Linked DNA regions of Oreochromis niloticus. The protein of the gene in region 1 purifies or fractionates together with the protein of each later gene. This does not show direct contact. Links are inferred from orthologs where the notes say so. Each region holds a gene or a part of one and is shown on either strand. Other genes may lie near its edges.

Region 1 (11,951 bases):
CTGCAGAGATTTCCTCCCGTTCGGAGCAGGATGTTTCTGTTCTGGCACAACCTTTTATCTCCAAAATTAAAGGTTCTCTTTCTAAGATTATTCAAGTATTTGTTTAATAGTAAGAATCTAAATGTGCCGAAAACAAAAAGTTGCCTTTCATCCTGACAGGGAGAGCAGAGCAGACCTCTCTGACCCTGGACTTCAATGTAGACCGTGTAGAGAAGGACCCTCGTTTTTGACAACCTCACCTGGTCAGTGAACATTAACAAGGCTCAGCAGCACCTTCACTTCCTGAGGTTGCTGAAGAGGAACTGTGTGCATGGGAAACTGCTGGTGACCTTTTATTACGCCAGCGTAGAAAGCATCCCGGTGTACTGCGTAACAGCCGGATGCTCTGCAGCAGATAAAAAGGGTAATCAGAAGGAAATAACAAACACATTACCAAAGACCGCTGGCTGCACTCTCCCCTCCCTACAAGAGGCTGTTTATGCAAAATACCACCTTAAAAATCACTAAATATGATTCTCACTCTGGACTCTACTTGACCTGATGCCCGGTGGTTGAAGGTAGAAGTTCATCAAAACAAAGACAAACAGTGCAGTTACTGTCTGAAATCGAATACTGTAAAGTATCGTCTGTTTCATTCTTGACACCTTAACATTGATCATTATTTATCATCTTCTGCTGACTTTTTGTTCTTTTTTTGAGACAGAACTAGCACTCGATTTTCTGTCTTTTATAATGCGATAACAACAAAAGCATTCTGATTGTAATAATGGTGGAAAAACACGAGTCATAGTCGCTGTCATCATTTTTTAAATTACTCCATATAAATGTTATATTAGTAAAATATGTTTTTTTAAATCAGTAAAATGTCTGAAACATATTTATAAAAAAAGCAGAAACAATTAAAAAGTACTAACATAGAGAAAATTGTACTACATTTGTACTAACAATAAGAAAATAAGACAAATATGGACAAATGTTCAGCGAAATAAATATTTCAAAATATTAAAATAACTGAAACGTGTTTTGGAAGCTTATTAGGCCATAAAATGAATAAACACCATTTAAAAATATTATTGAAAGAATTACTGACATGTAAAAAGCTTATCATGAGTAATAATGTACAAAGAAATAGTACAAAAAGCTCAAAGTGGTTAGAGCCAGAGAAGTGTGGCAGTACAGAGATCCAAATATGGCCAAAGCTGAGCGTGAAGTGGGGACAGGGAGGAGGCGGGGGGGGGGCAGAGGAGGATGTTTAAGCAGCAGACTGCAGCAGGTGGGAGTGATGACAACAGCCAGTGCTGGTCTAGGAGCCTCTTCAGCTTCCTGCCGTGACATCATCAAAGAGAAAGACATGTTGCTTAGTGCAGAAAGAGGTGAGAACAGCAGTCGTGGAGGTCGATGGTTAGGAATGAGGCAGCAGGGTCAAAGAGAACATGAACTTGGACCGAACTGTGGAAACCAGAGACACACCATGTTTGGTAAAGGGGAGTCACCGGCCCCACTCCTGGAGGACGACTGACCGCCGTAGAAGAGGCCGGCTGTCAGCAAGCTGAACGGAGAGCAAAGTGTCTCCCAGTGGAGGCCGGATGAGGAGGTGTTGTGTCCAAAGCCTTCGACTTGTTGGTCTTTAAAGAGAAGATTAAGGAAAACAGACATCTGTATTTCCAGTGAAACAGCTGAGAAAACTTCAAGATGGCTCAAGAGAGAACCAGGGGAGGAGAGTACCCACCCGTTAATGTGGACCCATCCTGGTGTCGGATCAGCCTCAGCAGGGTTTCCAGGAGGAGGCTGGATGATGCTGAAAGTCCTGAAACACCTGAATAAACACATCATTCTCAAAGAAATTTAGAATACAGCTAGTCAGGAAAAAAAAAAGTTAAATCCTCAATAAAGATTCAGTAAAACATCCAAAGAATTTCTATGAAAACCCAGGAAACACCTTGAGCACAGGTCCAACAAACCAAAGGAAGGAAAGCTGTCCGGATCATTTTCACAAAACAATTTATTTAAACCTCCAAACAGTGAAAACTCACTTCCTGTCACATTATTTTCAACCTATGAGATCAGGTTTGTTTGAACCTGAATTTGTCACATTGACTGAAAGTGTCTGTTTAGACGCTGCAGGAGTATCTCTGAGCAGCTCCTTCTTCACTGTGACACTGAAGAAAACAAAAAAACAGGAATATTCTCTGATTTTCAACAGACGAGTTTCACAAAGACACAAAGTCACGTCGAGAGTACGTGTTTCATGACTGTGAGTTTTGACTCGGAGAAGGCTCAGGCACTAATCCTCCTCTTCAGCTCTGTGAGGACTTGTTGGGATTCAGGCTTTAGTCCTGAAGTCTTTCCTTCTCCTCGAGCCTGTTTTCTCAAAACACACCGTTGACATCAGCAGCCGGCTTTCGTTAACCCGTCCTCTGCAGCTGGTCAGGTGGGAAAGTCTAGAAAACGTCTCCTCTTCTGCTCTCTGGCAGGTCGCCCAGGCCCTGCAGCTCCCTCAAACCCTGAGTAGGGAAACATGAAGAAGCCAATCAGATTCTCTACCTGCTTCTTTAACATCTGGTCATTAATCAGATCAATCTGACTATTTTAACCCTTTTGTCACCAGTAAATACTGAAAAACAGTGTTTTAACTGAACATATTCAAATCTGATCTTGATGTATTTCATTAGATGGGTAAAACTTTTTACTTCTAGTTCAATGTTCAAACTTCATTGACTGTAAAATCCTCAGAAATGAGTAACAAGTTATTTAGTACTTAAGTATAAGCCAGAGGAAAACTCCTGCACCCAACAGAAACTATTATTATATAAAAACTGTCCTATAATCCACCTGAGAAGAAACTGACCTCCAGCACCATGCGGATATGGGCTTTTATTTTGGCAGAGTCTTTTGTGAGCTGCTCCGTGAAGCTGTAACACAAACACAGGGTTAGCATGGCAAAAAGTGACAGTGCTAACAAAGAGCTAACATGAGCTAGCTAATAGACATTGGTATGCAACAACAAATCGTAAAAAATAATCAATCATAATAATAATAAAAAAAAGAAAATATAAAATAAAAAATATTAGTAATATATTATTAATAGAGAAATTAGTAATAATTCCAATAATTCTAAATTCTAAATAAACAAATAAAAATTAATTTTAAAGTACAATAAAAACAGGAAATTGTCAGAAAAAAATAATAATACAACAAAAATATCAATGTTTTAAAATGGAAAATTTAAGTGTGAAAAAAATACTTGAGAAATATCTAAAGATAAAATTAATAATAAAATCATAAATATTGAGAAAACCCACCAAAAATATCTAAAAACAAAATCAGGACATTTCAAAATAAATAGTTCTAACATATTTTTTTCAAATAATTTCACAACAAAGTGAAATTCTGAGCTCATTTGAAAAATGTCTGAAACATAATTACATTTTTATGCTTTTTCTCCTACTTTTAATCTTAATAGTGTTACAGTGACAATGAACTCACGCTGTGAGCTGACTCGTCTTCTTCTCGATGAACCTCAGAGCCTCGTCGTGAGTCATCTCCACAAAGAAACCGTAACCGACGGCCACAAACATCCTGGATGAGTCCTCACTGATGGAGGAGAAGGAAAAGAGAACTGAGTTTAAACAGGAACTGAAATCCTTTTGGAAACACAGAGCACGGATGCTCTAGCCTCTCTGGAGTCTCGCAGCACACTTCATTAGCCTAAACGCAGCATTTTTGCCTGTTCGAATGCAGAACAGCTGCTGGTGACCTTCGTGTGTCAGCAACTCACACTTCAGCCTGAACGTAGAAGTTACAGCCAAGATCAACGTCTGTCTTCAGCTGCTGAGAGCCCGCCTCCTGCAGGAACACAAAGAAGCGTGTGACTTTCATTCACTCGTGGAACAGGCGGCCCAAGCTCAGAGAAAAAAATACTCCATCTCAGTGTCTACAGGCCTCAGACAGCATGTTAGAGGTTAACGTTCATGACATGACAGTTAGAAAAGAGACTGAATGAGTTTGGCTTGTTTGGCGGGGTTTCCACAGAAAAATATATCAGTGAATATGTAAGAAGCTCGGAAAGAAAAGTGACTGAAGACGTTTCATCCGGAAAGATTCTTCAGTTCTAAGACCAAATGTTGGACAGTTCAAAGTATTAAATCACATGAGCCAAGGTGTGTGATGGGGCACATGATTAATAGTCGGGTCAACGACCCTCTTATGGGACAACTCCCACTAGGACTTAAAGACCTGGGACTCTTCACCGTTTAGTTTTAGAACTGAAGAAGCTTCTTGGATGAAACGTCTTCAAGAAACTTAAAGAAGTCGAGTCGCTTTTCTTTCCAAGCTCCTTAGATTACCATGACCTGGATGACTGAAAACCTACACAGACATCAATGATTATGAGAGTGATTTAAAAAAATATCTGAAAACTAAAATAAAAACGTCCATCCTCTAAATAAAATAAAAACAAATAAAAAATTATTTTTTTAAATATCTGAAAAGTGGAGGTAAAATGTCTGAATGTTTTGATTTTCCAGCTGTAGTTTCAGGCTCTTTGATCCAGACGATGGAGGTTTGGGTTCACAGCTCTCGGCCTAATGAGCCACATGTATTGATCTGCTGGATAAACAGCTGCAGTGAGGCTCAGCTGTATTGATGGAGGTCCGATAAGCTCCACCATCTTTCCTCACAGAAGAGTGTGCTGAATTACAGAAACAGCTCACACAGAGAAGCTACAGAGAGAGATGTCTGTATTGGCAGAGCTCAGTCTGCAGCTCATTAACCAGCAGACAGAAGCATTTAACATTAACAGAGAATGACAGCCAGCACAAACACTACAACGATCTCCAGTTTGATGTGGAAATCTCTTCTTTTCTAAACTGAAAAACCTACAGATCTTCAAAATAACACAGTACATTTTGTGTGCGTTTACCTGCAGACTCTGTATGGTGTTCTTCAGCTGCAGGTACTGAGAGATCTTCTCATAAACCTGATCCCTCTGCTCCACCACCTTCCTGCCAAACGACAGCCGTCACTTGATTTACAGAGAACATTAACGCCTTCAGATGCACCAAAATAATTCAAACAGCCTAAACACGCCAAGAAAATCTGATTCAAAGCACCAAACAGCATTTCAGACACCTGAACTCTTTAGTCTGTGTCACTGAACACTCAGATGCCAACCTGAAGAACCACATAAATACCTGTAAGATTAGATCTACCCTTCTTATCCATCACACATGTGTACTTATAATAGATTCAAGCTCATTATTGTATCCTTTCTATATAACTGAGCTCCTTCTTAGGTGTAGTTTTTAGATTTTTGCACCATTTTGTTCTGTAACTGTACAAAGTAATTTCTGTATTTCTTTTCTTACACCCTAATAAAATTGTCAGTGTTCACATTAAACACAACCAGTCGGGTCTGTGCATGTACAAGTAACCCATGTGAACCAAAGGCTAACGCCTTAGATTGCTCTAAATACTTTTTCAAGTCTTGAATCTGTATGATGTCATTGAGAGGAGATATCCCTATTATAGCCCACCCACCCGCTGTCTGGGGAGCTAAACCAGTCATGTCATAGGCAAAAAAGAATTATTTTGAACTATGAATCATGCAAAGCTACTCTAGTGTCATAGTGTTCAAGAAAAACAATATAAAGCTGTAAATTAACAAAACTGATCCACTTTAAATAAGATGGTCTGAGGCTGCTTCTAATGGAGCTGTGAAGGAGCTTGTTGACCCAATTGCCAAGTGTACTCCACAGTTTTCCTAAACAGCTTGTGTCCCTGGATGTGCTTCGCACTCTGTTAGCTCATGCTGAGCTCTGCTCTGCAGTACTGGCTGCAGAATGTGAAGCAGTAAGAGGTTTCCTCTTAGTGTGGTCAAAACGCTCCAGTTCTGTCTGGTTTGTTGCCCCAGTTGTTGCAGTGCTGGCACAGCAGTGACATGTATAACAATCCCACTGTATTAAAAACACATTGCACGCAAAGGCTGTCTTGACAACGTCTACATGCCTAAATGAATTGAGTTGCTGCTACATGAATCGCTGATAAGATATTTGGGTTGAGCAGGTATTCCTAAAAAAGCAACTTGTGAGTGTAAATATTTAATAATCAGTCTGCAAGTAATTAAGGCACGGAGGGGGACCAAAATGACACCAGCACTATTATACAATCAGCAGCTGTGAGACTTGACCTTTATTAGGCTGTTAATTAAGCTTTAAATGACTTTAATTTGTAGTCACTCCTCATTGACCTTCATATCGCCTCTACTACCTGTTCAAAGTCTGCCTGGATAAAAATCTGAGTTCATAAACTCATATCTACACAAGTATTTTGCACTACTTTAACTACAGATTACATTTCTTTTACTTTAGTTTTTAAAGTTCTGTAACTGAATAAAGCTCTCTGTAAGGACATAATAAACTGTGTTCAGACATCAGCTGTAGTGTCTTCTTACTGTAAGTCTCTCTTCAGGACTTCGTTGATGAAGGTTTCATACTGCAGGACCTTCTGGTCCACGTTAGGTCTAGCTGTGGCATTGTCGGGAGCAGACATTTCTTCACTGTCTTCTCTTTAAAAGAAGCTACAAATAACAGAAAAAACATTCGGTTGAGCTGCGGATAAAGTCCAGCTGCGAACTGCCCGATCTCTCTGTCGTAAACTTTAATGTTTCTGCACACCAAACTCTCCGGCTAGCATGCCTAAGACAGGACGTAAACACGCCACTCTACACCGGATGAGAAGAAAGTGTGAACAAGTACTTCCGGGTTTCAAAATGAACCCAAAGAATAGATTTAGTGAAAACAGAAAAGACGAAACGACAGCAACGCTGCAAAAGCTTGTCAATTAATGATAGCATAAACTCGGAAACTCTAAAAAAAATTTCTTACTTTATTTTTTAATATAGTAGAATAGAAGGCCTTTTTCGTTATGTAGAATACCAGTACGGAGTGAATTATTTTTATTCTTTATCCTGCTGCTGTAAAACAAACATTTCCCAATTGGATTCAGAAAAGTCTGTCTGTCGGTCAGGGAAATTTGAAGCATTTTCCTGAGCAGATTATAAATTTTAGACACATCAAGTACATCTCTATGCAGTTCAAAAGACTTGCTTTATAAACCAAAAAATAAACTAAATTGCTTTTTAATCATTAATCGAATCAAATGTTCAAGTCAAATTGTTAAGTTTGTACGTTAAAAAATGAAACAGCAAACAAGAACAAAAAAAGAATCAAAAATAAAATAAAACAAAATAAAACGTTGATTCTGGTTAATGCTTTCTACCTGCTCTGGCTCTATGGAGGTCCTGTCTCATGACGTCACTGTAAACAAACATGGCAGACCACGGGCGGCTCTGTAGCTAGCTACTGTAACACGAAACAATTATTAAAACGTCCTGAATGAAAATGCGTATTAAAAAAATTAAATATCGTCGTTTTTGTAGTTTCTTTCTTAACAAGCGTGCGTGTCAAGCCGGCAGCAGAAGTTAAACAGTAACAGGTTTTAAAATTTTAGCTGGGTTATCTGAGTTAAGACGTTGCCAAGGCAACGTTAGCCAACAGCTAGCTGTCTCGCTTCCCGTGGTCAGGATTTATTTTCTGAGAGACTTTTCTTTACAGCTGTTTGTTGTTGCATATGTAATATAAGCCGAATTTAAGTTAACGGTTTAAAGTTTTACTGGGCTTAAAATAATAGTTTAATAACTGTATCTTATTGAGCAATCGTGCGCAGCATCGTGAACGGCTTAATTTTTGAGTGAAGTTCGAGGTTTGCGTTCCTCTCTCTGGTTTGCTGTTCCAAGGAGCTGATTTGTATATCATTGGGGGTTTACTTCAAACCACACACTCTTTGAATTAACAAAAACATCAGTGAGAGTTGTGACCAGATTAAATCCAGATTAACTGAAGCTGTTTTAAACGCTCATGAAAACATGGAGCAGTATAACATTCTGGGTCGGACAGGAGAAGGAGCTCATGGCATAGTCTTCAAGGCCAAACATATTGAGGTGACGGACTGGTGCTTTTATGTCTGCATCTTACTTCATTTCTTTTTTTTTTCTTTTTTTCTTTTTTTTGTAATCCGATCAGCATTAAATTTGGGGTCTAACCTCAGCGGCTTAGATATGTGACATGGAAATGTTCTTGTGTGTCAGACAGGGGAGACGGTGGCTCTGAAGAAAGTGGCTCTGAGGAGGCTGGAAGACGGCATTCCGAACCAGGCTCTAAGGGAGATTAAAGCACTGCAGGAGATCAAGGACAACGAGCATGTGAGTGAATGTGCAGACAGTTTTTACAGATAAGAGTCATTTTAATCTTAAAATTTGATTAGTGTTTAGCAGCACGGTGGTGCGGTGGGTAGCACTGCTGCCTCACAGCAAGAAGGTCCTGAGTATGAGTTCGACTCCCTTCTGTGTGGAGTTTGCGTGTTCTCCCTGGGTTCTCTCCGGGTACACTGGCTTCCTCCCACAGTCCAGAGACATGCAGTTAGTGGGGTTAGGTTAATTGGTTATTCTAAATTGCCCATAGGTGTGAATGTGAGTACAAATAGTTGTATGTCTCTATGTGTTAGCCCTGCAACAGACTGCCCACCTGTCCAGGGTGTACCCTGCCTCTTGCCCTATGGTAGCTGGGATATGCTCCAGCTCCCCTGGTGGCTGGGGGGATGTCACAAACAAAATATAACAGAAACCAAAAATTAGTACATGGAAAACATAGACGATCAAAGCAGAGCAGCAAGAAAAGAGCCAAGCATAACAGACATGTTAATAAAAAGGAGATTAGGCTATATGAGAAAATTATAAGAAGCTGCAGAGTGTCTGGAGTCTGAAGGGATGCAGGACTTCTTTCTGTGACTTTCTCCTCAGGTGGTGAAGCTGAAGGACGTCTTTCCTCACGGCACGGGCTTCGTCCTGGTGTTCGACTTCATGCTGTCTGACCTCTCTGAGGTCATAAGGAATTCCCAGCGCCCTCTGACCCCTGCGCAGGTCAAAAGTTACATGATGATGTTGCTGAAGGGCGTGGCCTTCCTGCATCACAACAATGTCATGCACCGGGTGAGCGCAGCTAACAGTTATTATCATTAATGAGTCATCTGACTGTTTTCTCAGTGAATCCTGTGTTTGTAACAAGCAACACTTAAGCATACAAGGTTATTTAAATACTGTTGGTTATTCATAATAAATGAAAAGCTGAAAATATGGGAAATGCTAAAAAACTGAATAGTTGCTGCAGTCTGAGGTGTTGCAGGAGGAGGTGAGAAGGTGGTGTTCGGGTTTCTTTTCTTTAACAAAATAAATCAAACCAATTATAAAATGACGTTTGTGTGTTTGCAGGACCTGAAACCAGCAAACCTGCTCATCAGCTCCTCAGGCCACCTGAAGATTGCAGACTTTGGTCTGGCCCGGCTGTTCAGCGAGCAGGGAGAGAGGCTGTACAGCCACCAGGTGGCCACCAGGTAAATAGGATAAGATGAGATTAAATAAGAAATACTTTATTTAGCAGGTAGCTTTAGCTAATCAAAATAAAATACAGTATGACTTACCAAAAGAACTCAGTGAGGTAAAAAACACGAAGAGCAAAATGCTCATTTAAATAGAAAAATGACAGTAAAATGAAAGATCTCAAGTGAAAATTTAAATGCAATATAATGAACCTAAAAGTAAGTACTTTTGTATATAAAATGCAGTAATGCAGTATCTGAATGGCTGAATGTAATACAGAAAATGGCTCTATAAAGTAAGCACAAGCACAGCATTAGCTTTAGTGCTGCTGGGAAAAATCCATGTGGTGACATGGAAAATGCAGTCAGTTGATACTTTAAATATTCACTCAGACTTGCTTTAAAGCTCAACTGGTGAACAAATGTGTCACAGAACAGATTCACATATTCAGATTTGAGGTGCTCATTACACCAGTAAATAATAATCATGTTAAAGTCGCCATGTCATGTGACTTGTTGGTTCAGTTCATTCTAAAATAATCACCACTTTCAACTGGATATTACTGATACTTTATCAGTAATGTGCAGTAAATGCACTGAGCTACATTTGACCACTGTGTGTGTTTAGATGGTACAGAGCCCCTGAGCTGCTGTACGGAGCCCGAAAGTACGACGAGGGAGTCGACCTGTGGTGAGTACAACCCTGAAAACGCTGCTAAAAGTAGCGCCCACACTATTATTTTTTTGCTGTTGTTCGATCATTATAGCTTACATTACATTATATACATTTACGTTACATAGTACTTGTTTAACCTGGCATTCGAGGCTAATTAGTGTGATTTTCATCTGGCTCTGCATTTATATTATGTCATTATTTTATATCTGTAATTTATATTTTATATTGTGATTTTATCTGTATCATGGTTTTACTGGAAAGCACTTTGGTCTTTAAATGTGCTGTACAAATAAATTTGATTTGATTATCTACTGTGAATCCTCTGCTGATTAGCTTTTACTCAATAAACCTAGATGCTTTTGTTTCTGTTGTGCCTGCTTGTATTCTTTTCCTGTATCAGCATATTTTATTATATATTACTCTTTAACATACTATGTAACATGGGACCATATAATAAGAAAGAGTAAGCTTGTAGCTTCAGTACACGCTAACTCTGTTAGTGTTCACAGTTCCTGCTCAGGTGTAAATTGGTCCAGTGATCAGAGATGAACAGCAGGGGGCAGCAGCAGTCTGAAGTCATGGCTTACTGTTTAGTCCGTGTGTGCGCTTGTGTGTGTGTTTCAGGGCGGTCGGCTGTATTTTTGGGGAGCTGTTGAACTCGTCTCCTCTGTTTCCTGGAGAGAACGACATCGAGCAGCTCTGCTGTGTCCTCAGAGTGCTGGGAACCCCGACTCAGGACAGCTGGCCTGTAAGATACACACTGGTTTTTCCATCACTTCAGGGGACGTTACATTAATATACATTCATTTTCTTCTCGATCTTTTTTTGTATTAGGTTAAGTATTAAGCTTTATATCAAAGTATCATCTCACACATTCTGTCTTTTATATAAAAGACATATCGTGAAAATGTAAACACAATGAGGATGTAAAATAAACTGGAACACTGCCTAATTTCCACATGTATTCACTCAGTGTATTCACACTGTGGTAGTGTTTACTCTTTCATCTTTGGACATAGTGCATATAAATGTCCGCCCACATCCACGTTCATTAACTTTAAATGTGCTAAAAAGACGCAATGTGTTATTTTTTAAAATAATGTTTTTCAGTGCATAGTCAACATCATAATCATCATCAGTATATTATTATATGTGATAGGCCTGCAATCATCTGCCTGAAATATTGGTTGGCCTCCGTTTAGCTTTATTTAAAATGTTTAAATGTTTTTAGACTAGCAGTAAATGATGATGAATATGTAGAGAAATTAAATCGGACCTAAAACTGATCCTTGTGGCACTCCAAACCAAACTGATAAAAGAAACTGTGTGTGTTTACTCTAAAAACCTACAACTGTTTGAAGTCTGGCGACATCTTTGTGGTCTGTGTGAGATTTTATCTGAAGGCTAAGGTAAAATAATTCACTCTGCGAAGTTTAATTTTGTCTTGTTTTTTTCTTCTATGGCTGTGAAACTGGTTAAAACATTTTAATCCCTCTCCTGTCTGTCTCCAGGAGATAGTGGAGTTGCCAGATTACAATAAAATCACCTTTAAGGAGAATCCAGCAATCCCATTGGAGGAAATCGTCCCTGACATGCCCCCTCAGGCAGTGGACCTGCTCTATAAGTTCCTGGTGTATCCATCTAAACAGCGCTGCTCAGCCAGACAGGTAAGAAACCTGAAGCAGACCTTAAGTTCAAAGGTGGAGTTCCTCAGGGCTCGGTCAGAGGTCCTCTCATTTTTACATAAAGAATCATTTCTTGGAACGTAGCCATTATATTCTCCCATTCACCCATTATCACTCAGATAAAGTTTAATAAACTGATTATTGATCAGTGCTCTGCC
Region 2 (12,517 bases), on another chromosome or scaffold:
CCCTGTCTGCATTTCAGGGGTCCTGGCGGAAGAGGTCCGTGGCCGAACCCCAACACCAACTCGGTGAGTCACATCCTCTCGCATCTTCACGTCCACGTGACCGAGTGCGTTTACAATAACTGTGCTTCATGTTGTGTTTCACCCCGGGTCTCTCCTCCCCACAGATAGCTTATTCATCTTCATCTCCAGGCAACTATGTGGTAAGTGTCCCGTCACAAACTCGTGTTCGACCACGGGCCATAAATTACCTGTCACACTGTGATATCTAACAGGCGCGCTGCCGTCTAGATGCACTCGGTGCTCATTTCTCTCCCTCGCTTGCTCTCACCCCTCAGGGTCCTCCGGGGGGAGGCGGCCCACCAGGAACTCCCATCATGCCTAGCCCTGGAGGTGAGTTATACATTTCAGTTTCCCTTCTGGTTTCTGCTTTAATCCGGTGCTCACTGAAGGAGGGTTTGTCTAAGAAACATCAAACGTGTTCTCCGTCAGATACACATGTCTCTTTGGGAGACAGATCGGGCTCTAAATATGTGAAGAATTGAGCCTTTAGGAGGAGTTTTAAGTGTAAAACACTGAAAAATGGAAAAAAATATATATTGCACTGAATGTGCTTTTGTGTGGAACTCTCAAATGTGATGTTCATGAAAAATCCTTTGTCACACTTTTTTTTTTAACTTAAGGCATAGAGTGAAAAATACTTGAGTGGAAGTAGAGGCTTACAATCAACTGACTAATCCCTTTCAGGTCTGACCCATCAATAAGGTGTCTCTGTGAAGGATTGACTGCAAACAAAACGCCGCGGGCGGTCGTCCTGTAGATGTTCTGTTTCTGATGGCCCGTGAAAAGCTTCTTTTTGTGTTATATGCACGCCGCTATTGTGATATGTTGCGGGGCAGCCCTTTGCAGTCCTGCTCGCACCTACACTGAGAAGGAAAACATATTCCACTGCAGTCACACACACACAAAAGTGCTCACCTCACTCTGGAATTAGCCCCCTTTCTCCAGTCACGACAACAAAAGCCGCATTCAGGAACGCTAATGGGCAAGATTTCTCTACCCCATGTGCCGTGCATGCGCTCTGTCCATCTCTGCTCCTCGTCTTTCAGCTCATCATTCATCTTTCTCGTGCTTTTCTCAGTTATCTGCTCACAAATTTCTACCTGCAATGTCAGATCAAGGTCACCTCACTCCTCTGAATCTTTTAAGAACAGACCGACTCGCACGCGAGGAGCGACACAGCGTGTACTGGTTGATGCCAAGTTGCCAGGGTGTCCGTATAACAACTGATCTCCTTGTTACAGGAATAAGATGGGTTTCTTTGACTGTGCGTTGCAGAGAGCAGCGAGTGCATTGACTGGCAGAAAGAGGAACTGATGTTTTTTCTATTTCTTCTTCGGTGGTGGTCTTTGTCCTGTACTGTAGCAGAAACTATTACACCAATGGTAAACTTGGTGCTGCCTATGTCTCTTCAGTTTTCCCCATTCTTTACCTCAAGGACCAAAACTTCTTTATATAATTTTTCATGGATTTTGCATATAAAAAGAGGCAGTTTACCTGTAAGTGCTTCCCAGGCTGGGAGGAGTGAAGCACAGTGAGCCTAAACATCCACCTGCTCTTCTGTTCGTAGATTCAACAAATTCAAGCGAAAACATCTACACAATGATGAACCCCATCGGCCCTGGTGGTAATAGACCTAATGTATGTATTGACGTTTGGCTCAGTTTTCATATATTTATTTATTTTCTTTTTTATAAACCACTCAGCTAACATGTTGTGTTCCCCAAGCTGCAAAAATACTGAGAGACAGTACCTTATTTAGCTGTAGCCGTTTTGTCTTAAAATCCTCTGATGGTAATTTTTGATCTATTATATTGGACTATAGAAATAAAAATGACTGACGTGCCTGTTTTTTGTTTTAGTTCCCAATGGGACCAGGTCCCGATGGGCCCATGGGTGGAATGGGTGCTATGGATCAGCATCATATGAATGGATCACTAGGTGCGTACCTAAAGATGTGGTACAGTAAGCTATGAGCCCATACACTGAATCATATGACACTCAAAAGCTTTTACAAGGTGGACTCTGCCCTCTAATGGTAGATCGAGGAAGTGTCCTCTCAGTATTGAGCAAAGGGAAAATTGATTAGCGGGGCAGTGAGTTAGGCCAATTGATCCTGTTGATGTATGAGACATGATTGGTGAAGCCAGCTGAGTTAGTGCTCATCTGTATGTGTAACAAATAGCTTAATTAAAAGCCATTAGTTGTTTAAGTGCAAGCAATTTCTGCTAGCTCTGGATATCCTGCACTGACACTGTTTATCTTTTTCCTTTTCTAATCACAGGCTCTGGTGACATGGATGGGTTGCCAAAGGTAGGTCTGTCCGTGCCTGCGTGTCTCTCTTTGTCCGTCTGTATGAGTTCTTTATTCTCATTGGTGCGTTTCGTCCACGTTTGTAGAATTCTCCCAACAATATGGCAGGCATGAACAATCCTCCCGGCACTCCGCGGGATGACGGCGAGATGGCAGGCAACTTTTTAAACCCATTCCAAAGTGAAAGTGTGAGTACCGTGTCGTACGACACAAAAAAAAAACCCTCAAAGTGTTTGACACAGATTCCCGCCGGCATGAGACTCACTCACCCCCTCTACGTTAGATGATCGTAGCTGCCAGTTGTCCACGGCGACCTGGGGGATGGTTTTCTAAAGACAAATATAGATGGAGGTCTGAAGTGATCCATTTTAGAAAGCTGGCGAGTCCCTCACTGTCTCAGACAGGACTCATTTACCACCAGACTGAAGTGAGATGTTTTTCAAATTAAAGACATGACAGTCATGTGAAACTGCTTTCGCTCCAGAACATCATTATGTTAACAGACTGAGAGCTTTGAAGATGTTTTACTATGAAAACTCAGGGTGGAGAGTGTAACAGCACAAAAATCTTCTGTCAGCGTGAAATCTCACCTCGGTGCAGATATGTGACTGAGCTGAGAGCTGTGATTTTTAAATATGGAGGGCCTCAGTGTTACTACAAGCTTAGACTGGAGTTAGTTGGCTTATTTTTGTTAACGTTAAGAGACGGAACGATGAAAACCTTTCATTTCCTTATTGCTCAGTTCACATCTGTGTTCAGCGACACAGATGATCCATATCCTGCTGCTGGTGTTTGTTAGTTTTATTAGTTTTATTGTATTTTTACTGATCCGTGCATGTTAATCACAGTCTCCTGTGAACTTGTGAGTTAGCTGTCAGGAAACCTTGTAGTGCTGCCTTGCTTTACAATGATAAGAGCTAAATTAACACTGAGCTGAAGTGTTTTGCACACAAAAGTCTCCCCGGTTTGGAAATCTGCCCTCTGCACAGTCCTTCGTGTCACGCCCCGTGTTCCCAGCTTTGTCCGACTCCCTCGCAGAAACACAGCATGCACACACACAAGCATGGACAAAAACACACATCATACCTTCTCTGGTGCATGGAGCCATTGCCGTAGCGTGATTAATGTCAGACTGTACCGTCACTGTGATCTGAAATTCCCTCACATTTTCTCTCTGGGCTGGGCTTCGCTCTGCTTGCTGAGTTTACTGACATACAGAATAAACTAGAAAGAGCTTTGTGTGTACTGTTTGCTGCTGAAGGCTGGTGGACTTGACATGGCATTTAGTTTAAGTAGCTGAACTGCTTTTATATTAAACTGGATAGTGGAACAAGTTAAATATAGTATTGGCTTATCTTTTCTCCCTTGCTCTCTTTTTTTCTCTCTTTACAGTATTCACCCAACATGACGATGAGTGTGTGATTTTTTTTTTTTTTTAATCTTTTATTTTATTTTACTTTTTCATCTCCCTTTATCTCAACCTCCCTTTCCCGTCCACCCTGATGCGTCTTGCATTACCCTCCTCCTCTTCCTCCTATTCGTGGATGGTGTGCTGTGCCACACAGCCCCTGGGGATTCCCCTGGAAAGCAGGATTCCCCTCAAGGCCCCCCATCCCACCAACACCTCCAAACTAGGTGTAAGAACATGAAAAGGCCTCCGAGCAGCAGGAAGGATCTCGTCTTCGCCCCATCGAGGGTCCGAGCGCCGCGAGACCCCGAACCTGCCCCAAGCCTGTCTTTCTCGAACCTGAAATCTGCCTTTGTGGGTGACGTCCAGGCCCAATCGAGACGCCCCTCCGCATTCAGCTCCGCCCCGCCGTCACCCTGTTCTCACATCAAGCTGATTAAAACTGACGAGGGCGCGCAGCAGTCCTCCGACCCGGGGCCAAGAGCCCTCATTTTAAAAGCTCTGCTCCTGTGACAGGATTGGTTAAAAAAGATGAACTGATGATGTCATTTTGGGGCGTGAACGGTTTTCATTCAGTGTTTGTATTTTTTGTTGTTGCTGATATTATTGTTCTAATTTTCATAATTGATATCGTTTGACTAATGTAGTTATGATTTCCTGTAAAGGGCACATTTTCTCTCAGCAGCAGCGTCGACGGTGACAGAATAAGCACACGCTCGTAAAATGCACAATGATTTTCTGTTTATGTGATTTGATTTGTTGTTTGTCTCGTTTCTGCCACCGTCAGCCTCGCGTCACAAAACTCCTTTAGTGTTTGCCTCCTAAATGTGTTCCCCAAACTTCACGGGAAGAGTATCTGGGTAACCGAGGTGGGTTTTCAGGTACAGTGTGTCTGTAGATGCACCTGACGATCACACGTCTAACTGTACTGTCTTAAAAAGTAACCCTTCTCCTAGCTTCCTGCTCTTTTGCTGGTAGAAAATGGCTCCGATGACACCCTGACGTGATTGTCAGGATTGTCAGGTGCCATTTTTAATTCAGAAATTTTGTGAATCCACTCGTCTCCTCTACGGATTGGGTCTTTTCTTTAAATGTAACATATTTAGCTTGTACTGTGTTTTCTTTTCTTTCTTTTTTTTAATTATTTGTTATTTACAAGTCGTCTGTGACTCCTGGAACGTGTTTCCTTACCCTTCATCCTCTTGCTTTGTTTGATTTCACTGCTTTTATGGACTCCAAGTGGCCCCTTTTTCCTCCCAGGATTCATTCTGGTCCATCCAGCGACTCCTTTTGGGCTGGAAGCAAATGTGGGAGACACTCGTTTGGGTTGAAATCACAAATCCTGCTGGGTCCACCTTCTTAACTGTGGGTTAAATACCTGCCTCTGTGGAGTTCCCATCAGAGAGTCCCATATGCGCGGGATAATGGACCCGGGTGAGCGGCAGTGGGAGCGCTGATGATGGGAGCAGAGTTGATTGTAAACCATCTAAAGAAGAGGATTACCTGCAATCAATAAGTTTCTATTTTTTTTTTAATTTCAATTGTATGGAATTGATTAAAAAAATAAAGCCCATAGAATCTGCACACAGACATGTCACAGTCACACAGTACGCTATTTAATTTGTTTCTGATGAACGCTCGCTGTCACCGGTTCAGAGGGTAAACTGTTTCTTTCAGTTGCTTCGCAGCTGTTTTCAAACCAACAATAACTGAGCAACCAGCGTTGCCTCTATGGGTGGTGGTGATGTACTTATCGATTTCCTGATATCAATGTGAACAGTTTGTACGCAGCGTTAAACAGGGACATCTCCAGGGTCTGGGCATCGGTGGCCTGGGGATCACTCAGTCCGGTGTTCCTCCTATGTAGTGACACACGCCTCCCCCACCCCTCCCCCTCCTTCCACACCCCTCACCCTTTGATTTCCCTTTTTGTAAATACTGTATAATGCATTTTGATATCATTGACATGTTTTGATATGTCAGTCACTACCAATGAATACAGCTGAAAGTAAATTATAAATAGATCTGTCCATGTTTTTCATAGTGAAAGGATGCACTATTTGGCTCATGTGGCTAAATTTCTAGAATACAGTAAATATGGCTAAATGTATAGAATACATTGACACACTTAATGCAGACCGTACGCTAAAGGCGTGCGTGGCGGGGAGGACGGGACAGAGAGGAGCAAAGAGCCGCGGCGTCCTCGCTCTGCCCTCCACTCCTCGTGTTTCGGTTTTGAAAAATCATGTGAATAGTTTTTCCAGAAAAACGACAAAAAAGGGCATCTTCTCACAAAAAAAAACATGTGACCTCATATTGCAGTTTTTAATATGAAGGATTTTTATCAATTTAAGAAACTTTTAAAAAGGAAAAAATACTTAAGGAAACCTCATTTTAAATTAAGAAGATCAAAATGTAATACTTATGGGGAAAACTGTGTCCTTTGCTATTCGCTCCTGTAATAGCGTTGTATAGTTTGAAGCTCTCTCACTGATCCTCTCTCAGTCCTCTGTGTATATCGATCGTCGGCCATCTCTGTACTTCTATTGTGATGTATAATACTGTACCATTAGGAAGATTTGCTGGTCGGGCGGGGGGGTTGTATTGAGACGGGGAGGGGTGGGGAATCGGGGTAAGGGCGTATAACGATTCTCCTGTACCGTTCACGGTCCTTTCTGATGACACGGCAGTATTCAATATGAAGCAGTCTGTCTCTTGGGTTTGCTTTGTATTTCATGGTAGGATAGTTCAGAATCTTGTCTTAGGGACTTAGGTGTCTTGTGTAGGTAATAAAGATGTTCTTTGTATGTTTCTTTATATTGTAAAGTTTCTTTAGACTGAAAGAAAAACAGATAATTTGCTTATCAAAAAAGAAACAATGCATCAATAATAAATGTCATTTGATTTTTCCTTGTTGTTTGACTCTCTCTCCCTCTTAGCGCTCATTTAACTCATCTTCCATATAGTCTCGGGCAATCGCTCTTGAGTCATCCCTCGTTTCTTCATATTTTGCTTCCAAAGAGCTGGGCTTATCATTGTTTTGCAAGTGCGCTTGGGCAATAGTCCTGCGGGCTTTCTGAAGAATTTTCTACGTTTTTCTTTTGACATTGTCTGCACAGATGATTCATTCAAGAGAATCCAGGCTGTGCTGAAGAATATAGGTGGTCACACCAGATACTTTAAAGCCTCTTCTGTACTGTATTTCCATCTGTTTTCTACATGTTTTAATAAGGTGCTGCAGTTATTTCCCATTAACCAAGCCCAAGGAGTGACTCAAGACTTTTGCTTGTTCGTGATGATGTTAATCAGTAAAAACATATTTCCACTGGAAACATATTTTTCCTGGAAAACTTTACATCAGCATTGTTTATTTGTGTTTGGATGAAACACATGTCTAGCCATGGTGAATATGTAAATCACAGTTTTAAAATCATTTTTCAGAATAAATCAAAACATTAGAGAGCTGCACACAAAGTCTTCATGTGTAAATTCACCCCTTAAATCACTGATACAAACTGTTTGTTTGTTTTTTTAATTTAATACATTTTGAGTGTTCTTAGCTTTCAGTGTGCTCATCGGTGTTTTAAACTAGCAAAAATAAGTCATTTTATATCATTACAAATAGCAGCTGCAGGCGTACATGGCTGCCTCTGAGGTAAATTATGAATAAGCATGAAACATCCAATAAACGTGCAGGGTCTCAAGGTTAACAGGAAGCAGCCTGCTTGGGGCTGTTAACAGATCGTGGCGAAGTCAGGTTGATATTGGCATGCAGCGACACATCCAGGTCTCACTGGCTTCATGTTCTCCGACAGCAACCTAACTTCAGCACTGCGAGCTAAAGGAGACTGCTCAGAACCAAAACACGGCTCTTCACAGACAATTTCGGGGTAAGCATCCGGTTATTTTGATACAGGCTTTTTATTATAAAATCCCTAACTCTGACTCACTCCACCGGGGATCGGTATAAGCAGTGATAAACACTCAGAGACAGTAAAAAAATTGCTAATTTAATGCTGACAACTAGCAGCTAGCTAGCTGTACATCCTCGGCTAACGTGTGCTAGCAGCAGCCTGCCATCCGTGTGGGAACACATGACAGCAGGGCAACTTGTTAGAAACTTCTGGAAACGTCTGGTGGGCTTTCTTGCTGTAGAACAACAGTTAACAGGTAATGTTGAGGTGAAATCGCATCACGTCACGCCAAAATCGATTAATAATCCTGATCGATTCAGAGCGAAAGCAGGTTTTATTTCAGTGCTGTTAGCCTGTAACAAGCTCAGTGGTGCGTGACTGACAGGGGATCTTTAAACACTGTTTTGAGCTTTAATTTGAATTGGACTCCGTGTTTTGGAAGGGCACACGCATTAAGAGTTAAGCAAAGGATCATTTTTGACGTTGTCTCCCGTCTTTTTTTTTTTTCTTTTTTTTTTTTTTACCAGAGGGGTCTGCTAATGACTGACAGAGAGGAGATTATGGAGTCGGATAGCCACGATAATGCGCAATCAGCAAAGAAGAACAGCAAAACGTCGCTGCTGGACAGCGGAGAAGACTTCGAAGTTTTAGATGAGGAAGACATTGACGACGACGAGCCGCCTCCTCTGGAAGATGTCGGGGAAGGGAAGGTGCAACCCACAAATCCAGAAAATACAAACCCCGACCCTACAGGTCAAGTCGATGAATGGCTGGATGTTTTGGGTATGTAGGACCCATGATGTGCTCCACAGCAGTGTAGGCTGTGCTGCACTTTGCTTGATTAGTGATGGGCATTGAGCCTGATATGGACAGTGGTCAGTGTTGTACATGTGACTGTGTCTGATTCCAGGTAACGGGCAGTTGAAGAAAAAAGTCCTGAAGGAAGGCGAAGGGCGAGACAGTCGACCACAGAAAGGACAGAATGTGAAAATCCGTCTTAAAACGAGCCTGGTGGACGGGACTGTCGTAGAGGAGAAGCCTGATCTTGCTTTCACTTTGGGAGATGGTGATGTAATCCAGGTAAAGACCTGTTAGATTAGTTTATTAATGCTCTTTGCGGAAGTTTGTGTGCAGAGTTTGCACACTTCATGTGTGATTCCTTAATTTTCTGAAGAGAGCTTTTCTTCTTTTCAGGCACTGGATCTGACAGTCCAGCTCATGGCGATGGGAGAGGAGGCACTCATCCAGACTGATGCCAAATATGCATATGGTGCCAGAGGAAGGTAAGGAAGTGTTTGAGGCTGTTTTTCCATGTTGTTATTTTTTGTATTCAAGTTTAATAATGGCCCTCTCACAATGCTAATTCATTTAAAAGTGGGTTTCAGTTCTCTGTCTTGTCCACTTACCTAATGAAGCTTTAGTGACTTTCTGATCACACTTTGGAGAGCACAGGTCTTGGCTTGTGCCACTGTTTCTCACAGTAGTTTCTAGAGTTAAGTGTGGGTTATCGTGGCCGATAAGGCTGTATCGGCACATAGCTAATATTAGCCGATCTGTTGGCGTGGTTCTAGTTAGAGGTTACAAAATGGTTTATCATGAGCTTTATCTTAACCAATTAAAACAGAAGAATCCTTCTACAGCGATGCATAACAATAATAATCTCATGTTGGTTTAATATTATAACAGGAACAGGGAAAACCCAACAATCAAACAACAAAAATCAAAAAGTAATTACCCCCTAAACCTGATAACTGGCTTTTCCACCACCAGGCATTTGTGATGCCTTCAGTGAGTCTTTCACATCACTGTGGAGGAACTTAAGCCCACTCTTCTTTGCAGAAATGCTTTAATTCAGACACACTGGAGGGTTTTCCAGCATGAACGCCTGTTTAAGATCACGCTGAAGCAGCTCAGTCCAGACTTTGACTCGGACACTCCAAAACATTCATTTAGTCTTTCTGAGCCAATCAGAGGTGGACTTGCTGCTGTGTATGGATCATTGCTCTGCTCCCTGATTTCGCTTGAGCTTTGGGACATGAAGTGATTTGCGGACATCCTCCTTCCGGTATGGAGCAGAATTCATTGTTCCCTCAGTTACAGCGAGTCGTCCTGGAGCAGCAGAGCCGCCCAGACCATCACACTACCAGCACTGTGTCCACCTGCTGCTGGGATGTTCTCTTTATGAAACGCTGTTAGTCTGATGCAGATGTAACAGGACTCAAACCTTCCAGAAAGTTCATCTTCTGTCTCATCAGTCAGAAGATTTTCCCAGGAGTCTCTGGGGTCATCCTGCTGTTTGTTGGCAGATGTGAGATGAGCCTTTGTGATCTTCTTGGTCAGCAGTGGTGTTCTCCTTAGGCTCTCCCACTGAGGCCATTTTTGCCCAGTCTCTTTCTTATGATTGAGTCATGACCTCTGACCTTAACAAAGCCAGACGAGGCCTGCAGGTCATCAGATATTGTTCTGGTTCTTCTGTGACCTCCTGGGTGAATTTTGGTGGGCCGGTCACTCCTGTGAAGGTTCAGCACTGTTCCCAGTTTCTCATGTGCGGATAATGGATCTCACTGTGGTTCACTGGAGTCCCAGAGCCTCAGAAATGTCCCTGTAATCTTTTCCAGACTGATGGATGTCAGTGATTTTGTTTCTCAGCTGTTTCTTTAGATCTTTTAGCCTGCGTCACTTTGTCAGACAGCTTCTATTTAAGTGATTCAGCAGGACTGACAGCGATCAGGCCACAGTTCATTTATCATTTAACAAGGGGAACGGTTACTTTTTTTACACAGGGCAGGTAGGTTTAGATAGATTTTTTTTCCCTTAATAAATGATGACTTAATTTATTATTTGATTCTTTGTCGAATATGAAAATTAGTTTAATCTGAAACATGGAAGAGTGACAGATATGCAAATAATAATATATTGGGAAGGGGGAAATACTCTTTTCATGGCACTGCACACCCCGTCATTCCCCACAGAGCTGCCGAGTCACACTGGTTTGTGCGGCTCTCATCTTTCTGATTTTTGTTTATATCGCCCATCTCGAGAGAGAGACAGAGAGGCGCTGTTGCCTGCCCAGTAGCTGGTGCCATCTCAAAGAAACGCTTTATTGATGCTGCGCATTCATTAAACCTGAGAGTATTTTTAGACTCGCGAACGCAGCAGTGTTTAATCGTCTGACTATGGATGTATCTAATTACTGTTTGTAAACTTTAATGTAATGTTTTCAATCGCTGCAGAATACTTTTATATAAGAAAACGTAGTAATATCACAATGTAAAAAGTACTTTTACTTGAATGAAAATGCTCTTCCACACTTGTGTGTGTTTAATAAAAGAGAGTGAGTGAGAAGAGTGATGCTGTACCCGTCACTGCTGGTCTTCAGTTCATAAAGAAGTCCATGTTTTTATTTCAGAAGATTTCTAGGTTGTTTTTTTGTTTTGTTGTTTTCATTTGATTATGTGCATATTCGATGCAGTCCTACATTGTGACCATGATCAAGTTCCTAACTTTCATATGAGCTGAAAATTGAAGGAAAGCCGTAGTGCTCCTCTGCACTGCAGGTTTTTTCTCTTTTCATTATGTAGAAAAGTGCAGTAGTTTCTTTCCTCGGACCAAACTACCCTTCATTCAGCAGTTTTAATATTGCTGCCAGAGGCTGCTGTTCTGTGGAGATTTTTTATTTTTTAAGCATCTTTTTAGAAATGTAAGTGATCCATCATCAGGACGCCTAAAGAAATTCATCTCCAAACGCTGAAGCAAACCTGGACGGCTCTGTACACAGGTTAAGCTAATCTCTAATGCAGATTTTAAAAAACCACATACAAGCACTACATTTTAAAAAGCTAAACCTACTTTTTACTGTACGAAAAATGGTTTTCCGTTCTCTGCGGGGACACGTGACAGGTCCTGTTTTCTGTGTAATCCAGTGATTGTTGTCTCTTACTCTCTTAAACTCTGCCTCTGATTGTTTGTCTTTCCCTTTCTAGTCTTGAACCTGCAGTTCCTGCAAATGCTGAGCTGTCCCTAGAAGTGAAACTGCTGGAAGCTACAGATGCTCCAGACCTGGAGCTGCTGCCCCCTGCAGAGAAGATTGCCCTGGCCAGCCAAAAGAGAGAGCGGGGCAATGCCCATTATCAGCGCGGAGACTACGCCTTTGCTGTCAATTCGTATAGCATTGCCCTGCAGATAACGGAGTCTAGTTCTAAAGGTGAGCTCTGCCGATGCTCACGTTGACGATGCATTCCTGTAAATTTATATTTGGCCGTTGTAGTGAAAAGACATCATTGGCTTAACCAATGTTCCTCTAATGTAATGACGCACCATTTCAATAATAACTTGTACTGTTCTCTTTTTTTTTTTTTTTTTTTTTTTTTTTTTAAACTTCTTCTTCTTTTGTTCCTGCTGTAGTTGACATCACCCCCGAGGAGGAAGAGGGGCTCTTGGATGTGAAAGTGAAGTGTCTAAACAACATGGCTGCTTCTCAGCTGAAACTGGACCACTATGATGCAGCGCTGAAGTCCTGCGTGTCAGCACTCCAACACCAGCCAGACAACATAAAGGCACTTTTCCGCATGGGCAAGGTGCACGTAGCTCTCGTGCTTTCAGTTTCCTTCTGTCAGTAAACTAGTTGGTTCTCTTATTTACGGGTACCTGTCTTTGATTTAGGTACTGGCCTTGCAAGGTGAATACACAGAAGCCATCCAGACTCTAAGGAAGGCACTTAAACTGGAACCAAGCAACAAGGTATATTTGGCCATCCATCCATTCTCTTTCTCTTATCTTTATCAGGGTCCTGCAGGCGGTTGGGTGGGCGCTATCCCAGCTACAT

Evidence for each region.
Region 2: the proteins of cdk20 (region 1) and fkbp8 purify together in Homo sapiens (affinity purification with mass spectrometry; 5 studies listed by BioGRID and IntAct, with this or other methods). This does not show direct contact. The link is inferred for Oreochromis niloticus from reciprocal best matches to the Homo sapiens genes CDK20 and FKBP8.

What each region holds. Positions count from the first base shown.
Region 1 is NC_031984.2:4,340,461-4,352,411, reverse strand, and holds the start of cdk20 (cyclin-dependent kinase 20), read left to right. Parts: upstream 1-7,281; 5' UTR 7,282-7,924; coding exon 7,925-7,999; intron 8,000-8,146; coding exon 8,147-8,260; intron 8,261-8,857; coding exon 8,858-9,046; intron 9,047-9,325; coding exon 9,326-9,447; intron 9,448-10,060; coding exon 10,061-10,123; intron 10,124-10,732; coding exon 10,733-10,856; intron 10,857-11,619; coding exon 11,620-11,775; intron 11,776-11,951. Other genes in the region: protein UXT, read right to left, coding at 2,442-2,504, 2,849-2,912, 3,487-3,594, 3,779-3,846, 4,922-5,003, 6,452-6,549. UniProt on the Homo sapiens protein: Required for high-level Shh responses in the developing neural tube.
Region 2 is NC_031986.2:34,621,150-34,633,666, reverse strand, and holds the start of fkbp8 (peptidyl-prolyl cis-trans isomerase FKBP8), read left to right. Parts: upstream 1-7,495; 5' UTR 7,496-7,668; intron 7,669-7,729; exon of another isoform or gene 7,730-7,948; intron 7,949-8,219; 5' UTR 8,220-8,231; coding exon 8,232-8,475; intron 8,476-8,602; coding exon 8,603-8,772; intron 8,773-8,886; coding exon 8,887-8,975; intron 8,976-11,675; coding exon 11,676-11,896; intron 11,897-12,096; coding exon 12,097-12,269; intron 12,270-12,354; coding exon 12,355-12,432; intron 12,433-12,517. Other genes in the region: ssbp4 (single-stranded DNA-binding protein 4), read left to right, coding at 18-63, 165-200, 336-390, 1,628-1,698, 1,920-1,998, 2,342-2,370, 2,457-2,558, 3,763-3,792. UniProt on the Homo sapiens protein: Constitutively inactive PPiase, which becomes active when bound to calmodulin and calcium. Seems to act as a chaperone for BCL2, targets it to the mitochondria and modulates its phosphorylation state.